Oreochromis niloticus: one gene and its partner. The protein of the gene in region 1 purifies or fractionates together with the protein of each later gene. This does not show direct contact. Links are inferred from orthologs where the notes say so. Each region holds a gene or a part of one and is shown in the gene's direction. Other genes may lie near its edges.

Region 1 (10,213 bases):
GAGTAACCATAAAACTGAAAGGCAGGGTACGGCTTATGTCTGGAACGAGCACATTAATAATGTAGATGATATATGACACAACAATTAATTTTAAATTATAGAAACACTTCAAGGAACATGGTATTGATGAGTGTTGTTCAATAGAACATAAGCTAACCCCACAGCATTTTACAGTGACACAGTATGTTTTGTATACATTTTTCAAAGGAATCATCTTGGATAAGAGTTATAGAACCCTAAAGACACCGAATCCAGCAAAATATATTGGATTAAATTTATTTCTTCTAACAGTATCAAATCGTTTCCTTCATACACAGTCTCTTGTTTCCAGAGCTCAAAGGCAAGTGGACAATTATCTAAAAGCAGTTTTATGGGCAAGTTGGACCTGTTCCCTTATTACATCGTGGCAAACTTGGCAGATTAAATATAAACACTTGTTTCCAAGTGTTTGGCATTTGGTAGCTTTTCAAGAGGTTGATGCAGGTGAAGAAGGCTGAATGAACCTATCAGAGAGATAGCAAAAGCTTGTTTTGCAAAGTCAACATTCTGGTGAATTCTGATGAAGTTCTGGTCAGCTCAGCAACACCAAAGAGACCTGAAAGGCCATAGAAGACCACTAAAGTGGGAGGCAGTGCCTTCAGGTTTCATGGTTTCAAAGACAATTTCTCTACTTTCAAGATAAGGCTTAAAACTTTCCTTTTTGATAAAGCATGCAATTAGGGCTGGATCAGGTGACCATGAATCCTCCTTTTAGTATGCTGCAATAGGTCTAGGCTGCTGGGGGCTTCCTGTAATGCACTGAGTGTTTCTTCCTCACTCACTCTGGCTCTCTTCCACTGTATGTCTTTTGTCCTGTCTTTCTCCCCTATATTTCTCACGCTATCCATTAAATTGAATTGAACTGAAGTGAATACAGAGGGAAAACTATAAAAAATGTTGAATAAGTAATGATGTGTTATAATTGTGTGTTATACGTAGAGAATGAGAATGAAAATCCTGATCAGAAAAAGGTCAGGGGATAAATATGTCTGTGAAGGTTCTCAGTCATCCAGGTCATCGTGGTCAAAGGAATTTGCAAAGAAAAGCGTCTGGACTTCTTTGAGTTGCTTGAAGACGTTTTTTGGACAGAGAGGACAGATGGTTTGAAAGAGGAGTGAAAGAGGCCATCTATGTCCACTGTGAGCGACCATCTTTGAACAGAGGTGGTGGTTTACGACACCAACTGTCTGCCATCTATAATCCAGTTTTGAGTTCCCTCCCCAGACGCCTTAACGCCCACTCACATCCTGGGCCATCTGACCTCAAGAATTCACATGACAAGGTGGGGCCAGGTTTCACAATGAGCTCACCCGAAACCCTGGCTGATTAGGTCCCACACCCGCTTTCACACCTTGGCTCATGTGATTAGAGGATCACCAGGGGGTCCTTTGTCCCTCCTTGGGGGGATACTCCCACTGGTTTTAAATCTGGAACTCTCGGCCATTTGACCTTAGAACTGAAGAAGCTTCTCGGATGAGAGGTGAAACGTCTTCAAGCAACTCAAACAAGTCCAGACGCTTTTCTTTGCAAATTCCTTTGGTTAGGGGATAAATTTACATGTATAAGACCTACAGTCCATTTATTAACCATATTCTCCAATGCATTTGCAGTATTAGTTTTTCACTTTTATCTCCATTTCTTGATTATTCCTCTTGCATATGTGTTGTAGGTTTGGGTCTATGAAAACCATGGCTGGTGTGGGCTGAAATAATCTTTCCCTTTAAATTATGTGTAAACATACTATCAAAGCAGAAGATTTTCTAAACGGCAAACACTACAAACAGTGTGAAAGATGGAAAACTAAGCATTCTGGGGTGCAAACCTCCACTAAGGCAGCTCACTCTCTGGGCATAAACATTAAACTAGGAAAGGTAATAGATAATAGGTATAATAATAGGTAAATAACTGGAAATTAATAACTTGAACTTATTAAATAGCATTTGACATTACTTTTTCTAAATATATAACACATTTTAGGGTCAACTTGAAAGAAAGACAGATATGGAACGTAATAGTGAGCTCAAATATAAAATGTGACACATTTGGATGCAAACTATAATGTGATGTTTAAAATCCTCATATACCAGTAACATTTCCCAAATGTTACCAGTACAAACAAAGGCAGCATAAAAGACATTTTATGAATGTTTGACTTTATTTGACCTTAAAGAAAATGTGAGAGATCCAAAGTAATGTGATATTTAGAATCCCCATATATCATTCCCTTTATGCCTATATGTGGTCAGTAGAAAGAATAGCAGTAAGAAACATAGTTTTAAATAGCTCTATATAGCATTATTATCACGTTGACCTTCAGATCAATCTATTGACCTTGAAGATAAGGTCAGAGGTCAAATGTGACATGATATTTTAAATCGTTCTATATGTTGACAACACACACCGCACTTTTAAGAATTATAGTTTCTAAGTTTTAAGGATTTTTGTCAATTTTTGACCAAAAAATCATTAATTTGACCTTGAAGACCTTGGAGGATGTAAGCCAAATTTGAATGGGTTGGTAACGTGACCCCAGTATGCACCCCTAAAAAGTTTGATCAAAAGTCGTCTTGATGCATTCTCAATCATCCAGGAAAATAAATCTCCAAAAGTTGAATCTGTTCATCTGGACGTAGTGTTTTGTGGGAGAAACGTTTCATCACTCATCCAAGTGACTTCTTCAGTCTCAGCTGACTGCAGGTTTCCCCAACCCTTATAAACAGTACATTTGCATGATGACTGAAACCAGGCCACTGAAGGAACAATGGGCTGTGAGGTCAGTTCCTTAATCATAATTATGCAAATTCCCATGACCATTGATCAACAATCACTGACCACTGTTCTTTGATCAGTGGGTTTTGGTCAGTGATTGTTGATCAGTGGTCATGGGAATTTGCATAATTATGATTAATGATGATCAACAATCACTGACCAAAACCCACTGATCAAAGACCACTGATCAAAGACCACTGATCAATGGCTATGAGTACCATTCACAGAGAGTTGAGGAATGGCTGCAATCACAGCATTGTAAGATGGCGAAAGATGTACCCTTAGGCCCCCTCCTTGATTCAGAGATGGTCTTTCCCTTTTCACGTAAATGGCCTCCTTGACTCCGCGCTCAAACCAGCGTTCTTCCCTGTCCAGGATGTGTACATCCTCATCATTGAAAGAGTGTCCACTGGCCTGTAGGTGTAAATAGACTGCAGAGTCCTGGCCTGACGAGGTCGCTCTTCTGTGCTGTGCCATCCTTTTCACCAGAGGTTGTTTGGTTTCCCCGATGTATAAATCCTGGCAATCCTCCTGGCACTTAACAGCGTACACTATGTTACTCTGTTTGTGTCGGGGGACCCGATCCTTGGGGTGGACCAATTTTTGGCGCAGCGTATTTTGGGGTTATACCTACAGGCCAGTGGACACTCTTTCAATGATGTACACATCCTGGACAGGGAAGAACGCTGGTTTGAGCGCGGAGTCAAGGAGGCCATTTACGTGAAAAGGGAAAGACCATCTCTGAATCGAGGAGGAGGCCTAAGGGTACATCTTTCGCCATCTTACAATGCTGTGATTGCAGCCATTCCTCAACTCTCTGTGAATGGTACTCATGGCCATTGATCAGTGGTCTTTGATCAGTGGGTTTTGGTCAGTGATTGTTGATCAATGGTCATGGGAATTTGCATAATTATGATTAAGGAACTGACCTCACAGCCCATTGTTCCTTCAGTGGGCTGGTTTCAGTCATTATGCAAATGTACTGTTTATAAGGGTTGGGGAAACCTGCAGTCAGTTGAGACTGAAGAAGTCACTTGGATGAGTGACGAAACGTTTCTCCCACAAAACGCTACGTCCAGATGAACAGATTCAACTTTTGGAGATTTATTTTCCTGGACAACCAAAAAGAATGACACGCACGTAAACTCTACCAGGGCGGAGGTGATAAATTGTGGCTTACCCTCCAAACCAGTTGGTGGCGCTAATTCCATGTTTAGTTGTACACCATTTCCAAGCGAAGAACAAGAAGACGTGAAGGCTACGGAGAAAGAGGGGGACGAACGAGACCATCATACAAACTATTGTTAAGGTATTAGCGTAATTTATTGACTTTTCCTCAGTTATATCAGTTGGTCTGTTATTTAGAATAAGACAGGTCTGTAGAATTAGACCGACGGGTAATTCAGTTTATTTAATTTAATTTAATTTATTTCATTTTATTTTTAGCTAACTCACACAGCTAGCGTAGTGGCTAACGATACATGGCTGGATTATCGAGGGTCCTAACTCGCCCTGAAACACGAATTTACAGGTTTTGTTTCGACTGAAAGACTCAAACCTGTATGTCCGGATAGCTAATAATTTTGATCTCGTTTTTTTTGTAAATTTTGTACATCCTAGTCTGATGATATCAATGATAGCTATTATGCAAGACAAAGGAATCACTTTACGGCAAGTTACGCACGTCGTCTGTGACAGACCATCTGCATTTCCTTGTTCACGGTCCCCCTTGTTTGAATGACTGCCGTCACCAAAATCCTTTTGAATTAGAAGGTCAAATATTAATAGTCACTTGTTGTAAGTACCGTCCCGGTCTCCATGTGGCAACCGCACATACTGAATACAGACTAAAGGAAACAGTTTCCCTGGTTTATAATGAGAACAATCTTCAACGAGCACTTTGCGGACATGGTTTACTGACTTGTCACACTAAATCAATGCACATGTGTTTTGAGTTGTTGTGTTATATCATAGCAGTTTCTTCTTGGGAGATGTAAATCATAAACTTTGGCTTTGCACTTTGCACTTATCAGGTCTTAATATCAAAAGTAAAGCCTTCCTTAAAACGATTCTGCTTGTAGCCAGCTTAATAGTAATCACTGGATACTACACGTCATCTGGATTTTCTTTCTTCATGCAGATGGGAGACAGTGATGATGACCATGATCGCAGGAGAAGGGACAAATTCAGACGGGAGAGAAGTGACTATGACCGTTCAAGAGAGAGAGAGGACCGGCGCAGAGATGACTGGAATGACAGGTAAGAAAGAGAGACGCTATTGGGCACAAGCCAGATTCAGTGAAACCTGATACAGCCAAATCATATTCGGATGAACAGCTAAATGCTATTAAATGGTAGCTCTTTGCTGCTCTTACACTGAGTAAAGTGGATATTAAAGATAGACTTGTGTGTTTCTTACCTTTCTTTCTTTCCTCATGTTTTCTCTCCTTCCTCTGATTGTGATCATTGGCCCAGGGAGTGGGATAGAGGCAGGGAGCGGCGAAGTCGTGGAGAGTACCGGGATTATGATAGAGGTCGAAGGGAGAGATTTACCCCACCCAGACACGACATGAGTCCCCAGCAGAAACGCATGAGAAGAGACTGGTAGGATTTGCAATGTTACTAATTCACAATCTCTATAACCATCTCTTATTTTACTTAAAGCCCCTTATCCGTTCCTGGCAGGGATGACCATGGTGGAGACCCCTACCGTGGGGGGTATGACTTGGGTTATGGTGGTGGTGGAGGAGGGCCCAGCTATGGACCACCACAACATTGGGGCCATCCCGACATGCACCTCATGCAGCCTCATCAGGGCATCCCCATTCAGGCCAGGTAATTAATTTAAGTTCAGTTTTGAAGTTAAATGTTACTTTACATATCTTTAAAGATGTTTTTAATGTTGTTACCTCAGATATGTCTTTTTGCCAACTAGCTTCTTCCAACATCTCTCTCTTTCATTAGGCTTGGTAACATCCACGACTTGGACTTAGGTCCTCCCCCTCCAATAATGAAGAGCTTTAAGGAGTTTCTGCTGTCCTTAGATGATTCTGTGGATGAGACTGAGGCAGTCAAACGCTACAATGAGTACAAGATCGACTTCCGGCGGCAGCAGATGCAGGACTTCTTTTTGGCTCATAAAGATGAAGAGTGGTACGATCTTAGATGCCTTTCCTACATAAGCCCTTATCAAGAATATAATTTCTTTATTATAGTCGTAATAGAATTATTGCATTGACAGATCAATTAGCATTACTTAAGCTGTTATTTTCTGTTGTCCTCACCAAATGTGATTGGCTCTTTATTTCTTTATTGGCCTTTTAATCATTTTAGATTTAATTGCTATTTAAAGGCAAATATAATAGGCTGAGCCTGGTCCTTTTGGTGGGTTTATCTTAGAATTCTATTCAAAAATTCAGATGATGTTTTTATTTGTAATTGATGGCTAATGAAATTGGTACATTAAAACAAGGTGCATGTATATGCCATCTCCGTTATGTTCTTGTTAAACTCACAAATCAAAAGGAGTGGAAAGGCATTTGGTATGACAGTTTCACCCAGTACGAGGACCAGGCACACACAGTTAATTTATTTCTAATGACTGTTGCTACAGTACTTGTTCACAAAATAAGAAAATCAACCCAATTTCAACATTAGTTTATATTTGTTATAAATGTATTTTAGGAGTTTAAATTTTTTTATCCATAAATATCCATAGTTACACTTTTGTGTAACTGAATTGTTTAAAGTCATCATTTGGTGCAATAACGTGCTTTGACCAAAACGTCTGTGTTCTTTGGGTTGATTGTCTTATTTGGAGTAACACAAGATTCATAATTGTGTGCTGTCTCTTAATGCTTTGACACTTGTTTCACAGGTATCATGCAAAATTATTCTGTTTTGTCATAACCCATTTTTCTTCCCTTCATTTCAACTACCACGTTGACGACGATTTTTTTCAAGATGAGAAAAAGTGGAGTTCATCCGCAAGAATCGGTCTTAGACAGACAGGGCATGCACTGCGCACAATGCAGTTGCTCTTAGACACACAGTAACAGGGATTTTAGATAGACAGCCATGTCCGCACACGGAGAATTTTTTTCTTGTTTTATCCTTTTTCGACACAATTTTCTTTTTATATTCGGATCAAATCCCAAAACCGAATTTGTGTGCATACAGACACACCATTGGGGTGAAGTGGAGCGCACTTTCACAGAAGAGACCCCGCTCTCTGTATTTATTTGTTATTAAACTGGCAGAACAAAAGGTAACTGTAGTCCACTTAATGCTAACATTTTTAATGTGACATTTTGAATATGTAAATGTTTAATTTGATCATCTCTGTTGTGTTTTTTTTTTCCTGCCTTTTTTTTTCTTTCTTTTTTGGTGAGTTAATCTCAAATCTTCTAACATTGTGGAGTAATTGGCTATGAAGACCACAGTCAAAACTTGGAATTACAGAAAGATATAATAACTAGTGTATACTGAACACAAATTACATTCTTTTCATATGCTAGATTGCTTATTGAATTGGAGTTGTTTAACATTTAAAAAAAAACCTATTCAGAATATATATTCTGTTAAAAATGTGATTAGAAGAAACTGAAAAAAGTGTAAAATACACAGATGTAACGTAGGCTTGTAATATTTATTTGTTCTCTAACTTTTGCTTCCTGCTCATCCCAACCCCCATCATTCTCTCCCCAATCTGTTGTGGACGCCCAACTCTGGACACAGGTTCCGATCCAAGTACCACCCTGACGAGGCCAGACGACTTAAGGCAGAGGCCCAGAGGGCTCTGCACAACCGTCTGAATGTGTTCGTGTTCCTAATGGAGAATGGCTGGTTTGATAATGTCTCCCTGGACATTGAACAGACCCCAGCCATCATCAAAGTTCTGGATGCAGGTGAGGTCTCAAACAACTTAAAGAGCATTGTTGACCTGTGGAGTTTTCATTTGTATCTACAATTAAGTCTGCTTTTGCAATAAAAGCAAAAATGATGTGACCTAATTGCATGGATGGTACTTAGAAGAGTACTCCTATGGCTGAACCATAACGTTCTTTCTGCATTTCAGCTGTGATTAAAATGGAAGGGGGGACAGACCATGATCTTCGCATCTTGGACCTGCCATCTGAAGAGGAAGAAGACCGAGAGAAGTCAGCATCTATTTCCAGGGGCACTGAAGTTCCCAAGAGAGAAGACCTCAAAGCTTTGGGTAGTGACTGCAAACCAGTGGAGAAAGACAGAAATGAGAAGGTATGTGTGCTCTGTTAGACAGGCGGTAGAAATTTCATGAGGCTCTAGGGCTGTGCGATATGACCAAAATCTCATATCCCGATATAAGACATCTATCGTCCGATAACGATATAAATCACAAAAATGTAACATTTTCTGTAAATTCTGTGAATGTCGCGCAGCTCGACTTGCGTGAAGTGTTTCCAGCTGGGCGTCGCGTACCTGGAGTCGAGTGTTTTAACTGATGCATGAAACGATACATTTTTAGACATAGGTTGTAACGGCTGCCGTTTTCTTTGTGAGTATTTATTACACGGCGTGCTGCGGGGAAAAGCCTGTTCTAACGTTTGAGTCTAAGGTTTATTTTTTAGCACCTGACGGCTCTTTTTTGCTTCTCATCCGTAAATACTCTGCAAGTCTGCATCTTTCACGTGATTCAGTTTATTTTGAAAAGTCTCAACAGGATCTTGAGCTTTATTGTGAAAGGTTTATGTGGAAAATAAACAAGCGGACACGAGGTGGTTTTACCGTCGTTGTTGCTAACCACAACGCATAAAAACAAGTGCTTGTCCGGCTGTAGTGTGGTTATATTAAATATAAGAGAAAGAGAGAACTTTAGGAAATTAATTTAGCCACTACAGTGACCATCAAAATAATGAAAAAATATTGCCGTAAACAGTTTATTTTGCGACACCACGAAACAAACGATAGCGTAAAATGAAACGATAGACGTTTTTATATCGTCATCCGATATATATCGTTATATCGAACAGCCCTATGAGGCTCTGTTGATGACAATGAACTGTGCCACAGGAGGGTAGTGACTCAGCCAGCACAGAGAGAGCTGCCACAGCAGAAGGAGAGAATGTAAAAGAGGAGGCAGAGAAAGAACCAGCAAAAGAAATTCCTGAACCTAAGAAAGTAAGTGTTCCTTCTGATACTGAATTAGTTCTTACCAAGAGAAACAAATAAACTGAACTGGCCTGATTGTTTTTCAATTTGATTGTTTAGCCAAGAAGAAAGAGGAAGCGCAGCGGGGACAGCGATGATGAAGCCAGCGCTTCGGAGAGTGACTCGGACTCAGATTCAGACTCCAACTCTAACTGCTCTGACAAACCAGTGAAGAAGGAAGAGGAAGACAAGGATGAGGAGGAAGAGGAAGGTGAAGGTGAGAAATCATGCCTGTAGTGTCTGGTTATACATTTTCAGGAGTATAATATGTATCTTTCTGTAATTTAGCACTCATCAAATAAATCTCCCTTTCCTGTCTAATTATCCAGAGGAGAAACCTAAGGAGAACTCTGAGGAGGACAAGAAGGAAGAGAAAAAGCCCAAAGATGACTCTCCTAGACCACGGCCTCTCCACAGAACTTGCTCTCTGTTCATGAGAAGCATCGCTCCCACCATCTCCAAGGCTGAGATTATTGCTGTGAGTTGTATAAAAGAAGCGTACCTAACAGATCCAGATCTTTAAGTGCACTAAACAGATACGTGTCCTGGTTTAAACTGAGCATCTGTGTTCTTATTTGTTGTTTTTTTTCCTTCTCAGCTGTGTCGACGTTACCCTGGGTTTCTGCGTGTTTGCTTGTCTGATCCCCATCCAGAGCGCAGGTATGAAAAATGAAAACTTGGCATTATTTGCTACACTAAAGTGTAATTGGTTGGATTAGTGTAGTCACTCATGACTTTGACATGAAACCTGCGCCGTTTCAGGTTTTTCAGACGTTGCTGGGTGACTTTTGACCGTAGCGTCAACATCAAAGAAGTCTGTTGGAACCTTCAGAACATTCGGGTAAGTGCACCAATCATAAGTGTTGGCACTGCTATAACTTTGTGTTGCAGGTGGTTTTAGAGATGCAGAGATCTTCCAAATTTCAGCTGAGGCCTTTACCACTCTGTTTTTACCCTTCACAGCTGCGAGACTGTGAACTGGCACCGGGGGTGAACAGGGACCTGGCTCGGAGGGTGCGTAATGTTAATGGCATTACTCAGCACAAGCAGATTCTCCGCAATGACATCAAGCTGGCTGCCAAGCTCATTCATGCCTTGGATGAGAAAGGGGAACTTTGGAGCAACAAGTCCCAGGAAGAAGGGCAAAGCACTGAGGTATAGTACCTGTACCCATGGGATTTAACCAATTTTTCTCAAGTTATTTGACCATCATCAT
Region 2 (10,213 bases), on another chromosome or scaffold:
TGATATTATGGTCAGAGTTAGGTTACATCAAGTGTAGCAGAAATTCATATGAATTTTAGCTGATGATGCTTAGAGCCACTGACTGAATTCTACCTTCATACCAATTTTTTACCATGTAAAAAAAGACAACATAAACAGTGTAATAATAATAATAATAATAATAATAATAATAATCAGTGTAGAGAATGGAAATCAGCCAGGAAACTCCTGAAACATCTGCTCACATCTGGTTGAATTAAGTTGTGTACATCGACAAAAAGCAGCACTGAGTAGAAATTATTGTGAGTTGTGATTCTTTCCCCACTCTGAGCCATTACAACCAATCCAATTTAACACAAAGTCACCCTCTACAGTGTAGGCAACAGAAAACAGCTACATTTTTTATTTTCCTTCTTTTTCTTCAGATTTAACCTGAGTTTAATTAGAATTTTAAAAAGTTAGACTAAAGTTTGTATTCCCATCTACTGATATTATATTATCATGATTTTAATATAGCAAAAGGTTCAGTTAGCTTTGTAGTAAACAGAAACGTCCTTCAAAGAACTACTTTTTACTTTCTTGCTTTGAGTACATTTCAGAGACTGTACTTTTTTACTTTTACTTGAGCAGAGGGTTCACCCAAAGTTGAATCAGTACTTCAACGTTTACTTCTACTGAGTAATTTTTAACAGTAGTAGTATATGTATTTCTACTTAAGTACAGAATGTCTGTATTTTTGCCACCTCTGGTCCCTACTGATTGCGAATTTCTGTCACACCTTTGTTAGATTCATCCGTGTTTTAATGCAAATAAAGCAAATAATGCAAATTTATATGCCTTTTTTCATTGTTTTTTCCAAACGCACTTGATTTATTGATATTTTTTATTTGAACTTGCAGTTAGTTACCACAATGAATTGTATGGTAACTAACAGCCACCAGTCTAGCACAGTGTTTTACTTTAAATTTGCCACAATATCACAAACCTGTTTATCACGATCTAAAATGCCAAGTATTTTCATACAAATTTTGAATAACACAATGTTGGTATGAGTCAGTTTGTTCCACAGGATGTTTTATAATATGAAATAAGCACAATTTTACATACAGATATGTAAATACCCGATTTACAAAATGAGGACATTATGTATTTAAATTTAAATTTACAGTCTATAAAATGTCATTGATCAGCATTAACCTTTAAATATGGTAAATGGCCTGTATTTATGTAGCGCTTTTCTGGTCCCTAAGGACCCCAAAGCGCTTTACATATCCAGTCATTCACCCATTCACACACTGGTGATGGCAAGCTACGTTGTAGCCACAGCCACCCTGGGGCGCACTGATAGAGGCGAGGCTGCCGGACACTGGCGCCACCGGGCCCTCTGACCACCACCAGTAGGCAACGGGTGAAGTGCCTTGCCCAAGGACACAACGACCGAGACTGTCCAAGCTGGGGCTCGAACCGGTAACCTTCCGATTACAAGGCGAACTCCCAACTCTTGAGCCACGATCGCCCAATATAACCTGTCTTCCTTTCCTGCCTCACATGTGAAGTTATCTGTCACTTTTCTCTCCCTGGGAAATGCATCAGCTGTACATTTAGCTAGCAGTCACATTGTGCAACAAACTGCACATAACCACACACAGAGTGTGTGTTTTTACTGATCTTTGTTGGACTGATAGAAACATTACATTTGAAATTACCTGCCACTCCAAAATAGTTACTCCCTTTATGCTTGTGCCTGTTCTGTAGCGTTAGCTAGATCATGAAGTACTGTAACTTTCCTCAAATGCATTAAATGCATTAAACAGTAACAAGTATCAAGCCTTTTTTAAATTTAAGGCATAGAAAGTACAGCCATTTGTGTAAAAATGTAGATAGTGGAGTAATGTAAAAGTTGTCAGAAAAATAAATAGTAAAACAAAGTACAGATACCTGAAAATTCTACTCAAGTATAGCAGTAAAGTACTTTTTACTTCCCACTACTGATGGGGACCAAGGATGACTACCCCTGGAAAAGGTAAATACAGTGCCTCATCCACAAACACATCCACAAAGAGATGGAGAATGAAAAGATGAGACAGAAACTGGCAGTGGGCAATGGGAAGACTGGGAAGCTGTGATAGTGCACCCCCTAATGGAAGCCTCCGGGCAACACACTGGGTTTGTAAGGAGGACACCTGTGGCTCATTGACCATAGTCCAGAATGGCAGACCCTGGAACCCAGATCTGAAAGCCAAGAGAACTGGACTGGACTGACTTAATCTGGGAAACACAGAAGTGTGGTGTGGTGGTCAGGGGGGTTATGATTAAGTTCGCAACAACGCCACCTAGGAGAATTTCACCCCTAGGAAATATAAAGATGAAGCATTTAAACAAAATAACCAAATGTCTGCACAGCTTCAAAAATGCACCACTGAAGCAGATTGGTTCCATTAAAATATTTAAATACCTTTAGTCCTTTAATACAGATTTTAAAATAATAAAAACCAGTTTTACATCCAAGATGCTGCACAACATAGAGACTGTGGGAAAGGACCCACCACCAAGAAGGTCCCACAGCTACTGGCTTATCTTCAGTCATGAAAATAAAAAGCAAGAATGTTAAAAATCACAAAAATATAATAGGACACTTGACATCAGACTCATACAAGAAAAACTACTAAAATCCACTCCAGGCATACAGTTTTAAAATGTCTTACACACACACACACGCTACAATAAAATACACAAGCCAAAGAGTCATATACACACTCCACAGGTGAACTGTCGCCTGTGCCAGTGACTGTTGATATAACAGGTAATCCTAGCTCAAACACAACAAAAAGGAATTCCCATTTAGCACTCTCTGTGGCGAGTGGAGCAAATCACTAAACAAGCTAGTACAAATAAACAAATGATGCAGGTAAAGTAGCAAGACACACGGACAAGAAGTAACTGTGGCAAAACAACGCAGGCAAGACAGGAGGAGTATAAACAAGACATTAGTTCCTCAAAGCACAGACCACAAAATAGTGGCTGCTGCATCTGCTGTGAATGCCTTCACAGCACTGATCATTTCACACACTTTTTTGTCTCTATCCTGCAACTGCTGGTTCAGCTTTTTAATTTTTTCAGTCACATCCATCAGGAAAGCCAGATCAGCCACTCAGCATCACTTGGTAGTATGGTATCCTCTCCTCTCATCTTACGTTTGCTCAGCACTGGACCTCCGTGTGACTTTTGCACAAATAGCCTGCTGATGGATGATGCAGTGATAGTTCAAACATTTAGGAAAGTCTGGGTCCGCTTTGCCATGTGTAATAAATCTCGAGTGATGTCCTGTCATGGCTGCTGCTCCATCAGTTGTTACAGAAACCAGTTTTTCAATGGAAATCTTTTTTTCCAACAAGTACCGCTTCATTGCATTGTAAATGTCAACTTCCTTGGTTTCCAGTGGCAGCAATGTCAAAAATTCCTCCTTTGTGGAAAAGTCATCACCATGTGTGCACAGCTAGCTGTGCCGTATCACTGTAGTCCACAGACTCAACACGCTGAAGTAAATACCAGGAGCACCTGTTAAGGTCCAAATCTAGCTTTCTCTCTGCATCTGCTGACAGTGTTCAAGCCAAGCTGGACATTAGCGATAGCAGAAAGAATCTCAGTCTTATTTTCGCAATGATTCTGCCATGGTGGCCATTGCCTCTTTAATGATCCCGACATTAATGAAGGGTTTTTTGTGCTTGGTGAGGATGTGCACCACTTTAAATGATGCCTCGGTTGATGCGCTAGCATTCTTTGGCTGTTTAGATTGTTGTTTTTGGAGGATAGTTTTCAGTTCTTTTACCTTTTCTTTGCAGAGGTTGCTTCCCACTGCAAAGTCCTGGGAAAAGTTGCTGTGAACTTTGGTGAAATGCTGCTCCACGTTGCATTTTTTTAGAGACACCAAGGCTCGCGCCACAGATCACACACACATTTGTGGGAAAAAAAGTTGTTTCCCACTCCTCAAGAAAATAAATTTTTTGCCTCTTACTAGCATAACCAAACTCTGCTGCTATCATTGTTGCTAATAGCCTGGCACCTCGTCTGCCTGCTACCTCCATATGGCGTCTAACCGCTTCAATTGCAGACAGCAGCCCGGCACAAACTTTTGATTGACAGTTAGTTGACAAATAATTGTTTCATTTCAAGAGGGGTAGGGGTATCTTTAATTTTGATTGGATGGAAAGCTTGGCCAGTTTCGCCAACCTACAAATTATATTTCTTATTTTCTTGACCACTTTTGTTATTGACCCCTTTGGCAAGCTACTGAAAAAGGCCCCATTCGCAAGTGATGTGTTGGAGACTCCTGCTGTACTCTGAGCCCCTCCCATAGTAACTCTGGTACCGCCTAGTTACACCGTATTCATGTTTACACATTACTGTGCTCATTTTCTATATTACAAACAAAATATGAAGAAATAAGGATTGGTTTCATTATGGGCAAGAATTTTTCAAGTTAGACGTTTTTGGAAATAAACAGACATTTTAAGTTTAATCAAACTAAAACCAAATAATTTTTTATAATCTACAAACGATTAGTTAGCTCAAACAAAGTGGCCTTTCTTGTTTAGACAGTTCATATTGGTTTGCCTGTTGAACACAGCAACTCATTTAAGACTGATTTAAGATTTTCAAATTTATGCCACAGGTGCATCTACTAGGGGCTGAGGGGTAGCGCTGGTTTTTCACTCAGCCACTCAACTTGCTGTGAGCTTTTACCTTTAAACCAAAGTTTTCTTCTAAGTAAGTTGACCTTAAATCTTGTTGTGAGCTGCTGTTTTCAAGGCAAAAAAATAATAATGATCAAGAATTATGTTAAAAAGTTTATTAACTGCAACAATCAACATCAGTGACGAAAATCTACTTTCATATAGTCACTGCATAATACTGATATGATTACTTTGTTGTTAATTTATTCTTTAGTGAACTAAAAAAAAGTTAAATTTGTCTTTGGATATGGAGAACTGAAAGAAATGAAATTAAATGAGTTAACTCAAATAGTTAATTCAAAAAGAATTAGTGGTGGAACACTGTATCCATATTACAGTTATTGTCACCAGAGATGAGAGGTCACCAAGTGAATAGAAGAGAAAACATTAATCAAAAATAATAGTTACATGGAACGACTTAACTGCTCCCCAAAAATGTCTTCCATGATTTCTAAGTAACTGGTTAAAAATCATGTATGTCTAACAACATTCTTAAAATATTACAGATATTCTCCTGTCAACGTTGGCCCATACTGATCTCAGGTCTGCCCCGATTAGCTTTCAGCGCGGTTCCAACCACACGGTTGTCGTATGTTGATGACGTTGAGGTAATGGCCGCTCTCGCTGGGCCGTGCAGGGTGCTTTATTTTCATCGCTACAGCGGCTAAAAATAAAACCGTCTAATATTTATTGCAGACAGTAAAAAGTTTTATCCGCGGGAGAGTGCAGCTGAAAAGGTAGAGGCGCGGTCTTTATAGAGCTTCGTGTCGGCAAGGTGATTAAAAAATGTGTTGTTAGCTCCTAGCACAGTGTACTTGCTCTTTTAGCTTAGCTTCAGGGGAGGCTACATTGTTAACCGTAAGACGGCCAAGTGTACTGGTGCGAACGCTTCGTACTAAACCGGTACTGTCCACTTATTTGTATGGTTAAGCCAAGCGTTTATAATCGCTGAAGAAAACTATCCATAGGTTGGGGACACTTTACTCGTTATTAGCCTTGTCTTCGCGCCGCCAAGTTATGGGCCTTGTTGCGAACTAGCGCGACCCAGCCATTGTAAGTGTTACCAGTGACATTATGCTACAGGGAAACCTGTCTTTATAAACTTGAGCATGTTGTCTAATTATGTATACACATATAGTTGTACCATGGAGCAATATGGAGACTTATATACACGTAAAACTAAATGGTGGTTGTTAGTTAGCGTGTTATAGCTAACGTTTACTTTGCTGGTGAATTAGCAGCGCCGGAAACTATAATTTCATAAAACATATACTGCTGTGACCAACATCTAATTACGTCTCAATCTCAGGAAAGGTGTTATCAAAGTTAATAGAAATTAGTTTTTCTCCGTTCTTTGTGTCAGCAATCACCAAATGAACAAAAACAAGTATTTAGCGTTATGGTGTATGACAGTTATATATTACTATATAAATTAACTGTACCATCTTTCTTTCAGTTGGTAGCAGAATTAACATTTTTTTGTGGTGCATCATTTTAAATTTAATTTTTGATTCTAGACATTTTATTGGTTAATTTTGACTGTTTTTAACTGACTGTTTTTAAATCGATTATCAAATGGCACGTAGCATTAGATTGAACAGTGTTAAATTACTATCAGATTACTGGTGACATACAGTTGTCTTTTCTTTCTTTCTTTCTTTTGACAGATTGCTGTTTTGTTGTTGTTTTTTTTGCACCAGAGTGGATTCACATGGATACTCCTGAAAGCCCTACCCAGTCCCCTCAGTCTCCTGAGGAGGAGGAAAAGGGTCTTTCTGACAGTGAGTTGCTGGAGTCTCCTAATGAAGAGGAGGACAGGGTCATTTCAGACAGCGAGATCCTCAATGAAGAAGGGGACATAGAAGTGATGGAAGGGCATGGAAAACATGTGGAATTAGAGGAAGAGGAGGATGAGGTGGTGCCTGACTTTGTGTCGGAGCCAGAGGATGAGGAACCTTTTGGAGAAATGGGAGAGTTGGGACAGGATGATGAGAGCATTGTGCTTATGGAGGGGAATGAAGACAGTCCTCAGGTGGTGGAGGAGAGGGAAAGAAAGGAGGATGATGAGAGAGTTGTCAGCACTCCATTATCCCCAGACTCTGAGCCAGAAAATGCCAAGAGCCTCAGTGCTGGAAAAGATGGAGAAGACTGGAAGGAAGGATATGATGACTACATAAAAGCTGCCTCTGCAGAATGTGAGGTAGCTGAAGGGGATGATCAGGAGGAGGATTACAAAAACAAAGATGAAGAGGATGGAAGAATAAGAGATGAAGAGACAAGAAGAGCTGCTGTGCTAAGGGAAGTGAAGGATGACTCTGTGTCAGTTTCCCGGGAACTAGACGAACATGAGCTTGATTATGATGAGGAGGTCCCAGAGGAGCCTGGCATCCCTACGCACGAGGAGGAAGATGAGGAAGACACAAAAGTAGAGGGAGATGAAGATGAGGAGGAAAGCGAGGACAAAAGCAGTAAAAAGGAGAAAAAGTCAATCCTTCCACCATCTCCTAAACACAGCGAATCCAGGAGGACAGATGGGTCGAAAGGGCCGGAGAGGATACGCCAGGACTCCTTCAGAGACAAGAAGAAGGATGAGGATGATGGAGAAATTGATGAAGGAGAGATTGATGTAAGTTATTGTAGTTCAGTTGGTAGTAGTGCCGTCTGATTTGCTGAGTGCAGGTAAATTGTGTTGTGTTTGAAAATAAGCCTTTAATCAGGAAGCACTGCTACTGTGTTTTTGTTTTATTGATAAACCTTAAGAACAAATAGCCATTAAACATAAAGAGTGGTGTTAAATCTGAAAAAAAAAAAAATTCCAAGTGGACTGGACCTAATTTGGCTGGATGCTCTTTATGCTACTGGTGAGTGTGTTGAGTGTGTGTTACACTCTCATAATAGAGAAATAAGAATATGAAGCCTTGTAGTCTTAACATTTTCAGAACTCAAAGGTTTTTTCTTTCTTTTTGTGTTTGAGGTCCATATCTTTCTCATGAGTCACGTTTTAGCAGGCTTTCAATGCATGCTCTGTGTGAAGAGCAAAAGAGGGAAAACCAAAAAAAAACGTCCAAATAGAGTTAGTATTTGAGTTAAGTTAGTATTTGATTAATAGTTGACTTATATGTTCTTGCAAAATCTGAATAGAGCTGTGGATTAGAAAGCCCACAATACAAGTCCCTTTGCAATATAATACATATACTGATACGGTAATATCAGGCCAAGATACGGTAAGTTCTTGGCCCTGTAAAACCTATGCACAGATACTGTCAAATAACTAAAACTAGAAATATATTTTTAGTTTTGGATGTTTTATACTAGGGCTGTTCGATATAACGATATATATCGGATGACGATATAAAAATGTCTATCGTTTCATTTTACACTATCGTTTGTTTCGTGGTGTCGCAAAATAAACTGTTTACGGCAATATTTTTTTCACCGTTTTGATGGTCACTGTAGTGGCTATATTAATTTCTTAAAGTTCTCTCTTTCTCTTATATTTAATATAACCACACTACGGACGGACAAGCGCCTGTTTTTATGCGTTGTGGTTAGCAACAACGACGGTAAAACCACCTCGTGTCCGCTTGTTTATGTTCCACATAAACCTTTCACAATAAAGCTCAAGATCCTGTTGAGACTTTTCAAAATAAACTGAATCACGTGAAAGAGCAGATTATTTACGGATGAGAAGTAAAAAAGAGCCGCCAGGTGCTAAAAAATAAACCTTAGACTCAAACGTTAGAATAGGCTTTTCCCCCCAGCACGCCGTGTAATAAATACTCACAAAGAAAACGGCGGCCGTTACAACTTATGTCTAAAAATCTATTGTTGCATGCATCTGTTAAAACACTGGACTTCAGCTACATGACGCGCAGCTGGAAACACTTCCCGCAAGTTGAGCTGCCCGAGATTCACAGAATTTACAGAAAATGTTAAATTTTTGTGATTTATATCGTTGTCAGGACGATAGATGTCTTATATATCTTATATGAGATTTTGGTCATATCGCACAGCCCTATTTTATACACTAGTGTGAAAAAGTATTTTGCCCCCTTTCTGACTTCCTTTCTGATTTCTATGTTTGTCACACTTAAATGTTTCAGATCATCAAACAAATGTAAATGTTACACACTGATAACACAAGTAAACACAAAATTACATTTCTAAATGAAGGTGTTTATTATTAGAGTGGGGGGGATCCAAACCTACATGACCCTGCGTGAAAAGGTGAATACGTTTTGCCAGAGAAAATATCTCTATGATCCCCAAGGCTTTTGGGAAAATACCGCTAACTCTGTTCTTGGAGGACAGTGTTTGGCCATCTGTTTATGACCTCAAGATGAAGCACAATTGGCTTCTGCAGCAAGACAATGATCTAAAACACACCAGCAAGTTCACCTCTGAATGGCTTCAGAAAAACAAAAAGACTTTGGAGCGGCCTAATCAATGTCCTGACCTGAATCTTATTGAGATGCTGTGACCTTTAAAAAGGTGGTTCCTGTTCAAAAATCCTCCAATGTGGCTAAATTACAACAATTCTGCAAAGATGAGTGGGTCAAAATTCCTCCACAGCCCTGCAAGAGACTTATTCCCAATTATCGCAATGGATTTAGCAGCAATCACTTTTTCACACAGGGCCATGTAGGTTTAGATTTTTTTTCCCCCTTAATAATAAAAACCTTCATGTAGAAACTGAATTTTGTGGTTTCTTTTGTTTATCAAATATCTTAATTTGTTTTAATGATCTGAACATTTAAGTGTGACTGACATATAAAACAATAGGAAATAAGCCAGGGGGCAAAGCACTTTTCACACCACAGTATAGGCAGCCACAACAACTTCTGGACAACACATCTGCTCCACCATAGCCCTATGTGCATTTGTAGCCTGCTTCTGCCTTAAGTGGTGAAAAAGGTTTTGCTTTCGGTTTAGTTTTTTGTTTGTTTTGGGTTCTTGTTCTCTGACATGCCTAGGCATGTCTTGTTGTGCGCACTACAGAATGTAAACACAAGGGTTTTAAGGGTGTGAATTCTTAATTCGGTCATATTAGAATTAGGTCATAGTAACTAGTACCAGGTACTTTTTTTGGTATTTACTCAGCCGGGGTTCCAAGCGGTCTGAGCAAGTACTAAAATGTGATGTCATTAGATTGCATGCCACCTATTGGTTGGTCAGTGGCATCACTCAATGAGTCATGAGAGCCTCTCATTCACGAAAATCAAAACCACTATTTTTGAAACCCGGCAACAAGGGAAATCGCTACACAAAAACAACGGCATGGTTCCCTGAGTCTGACAAAAAAAAACCACAGACCAAGCACCATGTATATTGTTTTCTCAGCATCCACCTTTGTTGTAGCATTCGTGTTGCATATTAATTACGTCACAGAATGCTTGCACCATTGCTATGACGAGCATGCACATAAGGTAGTACTGAAATGTAATGGGAAACCAGGAGAGTCGTCGCAAGTTGATCTGAGTAGGTACTGATGGAAAAGGGGC

What was found. The genes of interacting proteins can lie anywhere in the genome.
Region 2: the proteins of srrt (region 1) and zc3h18 purify together in Homo sapiens (co-immunoprecipitation; 4 studies listed by BioGRID and IntAct, counting the BioPlex papers as one, with this or other methods). This does not show direct contact. The link is inferred for Oreochromis niloticus from reciprocal best matches to the Homo sapiens genes SRRT and ZC3H18.

What each region holds. Positions count from the first base shown.
Region 1 is NC_031975.2:11,167,748-11,177,960, forward strand, and holds the start of srrt (serrate RNA effector molecule homolog), read left to right. Parts: upstream 1-3,961; 5' UTR 3,962-4,117; intron 4,118-4,948; coding exon 4,949-5,067; intron 5,068-5,283; coding exon 5,284-5,412; intron 5,413-5,493; coding exon 5,494-5,643; intron 5,644-5,772; coding exon 5,773-5,961; intron 5,962-7,545; coding exon 7,546-7,715; intron 7,716-7,885; coding exon 7,886-8,067; intron 8,068-8,859; coding exon 8,860-8,967; intron 8,968-9,057; coding exon 9,058-9,214; intron 9,215-9,326; coding exon 9,327-9,475; intron 9,476-9,595; coding exon 9,596-9,657; intron 9,658-9,759; coding exon 9,760-9,838; intron 9,839-9,960; coding exon 9,961-10,152; intron 10,153-10,213. UniProt on the Homo sapiens protein: Acts as a mediator between the cap-binding complex (CBC) and the primary microRNAs (miRNAs) processing machinery during cell proliferation.
Region 2 is NC_031972.2:38,977,355-38,987,567, reverse strand, and holds the start of zc3h18 (zinc finger CCCH domain-containing protein 18), read left to right. Parts: upstream 1-5,310; 5' UTR 5,311-5,449; exon of another isoform or gene 5,450-5,765; intron 5,766-6,379; 5' UTR 6,380-6,423; coding exon 6,424-7,338; intron 7,339-10,213.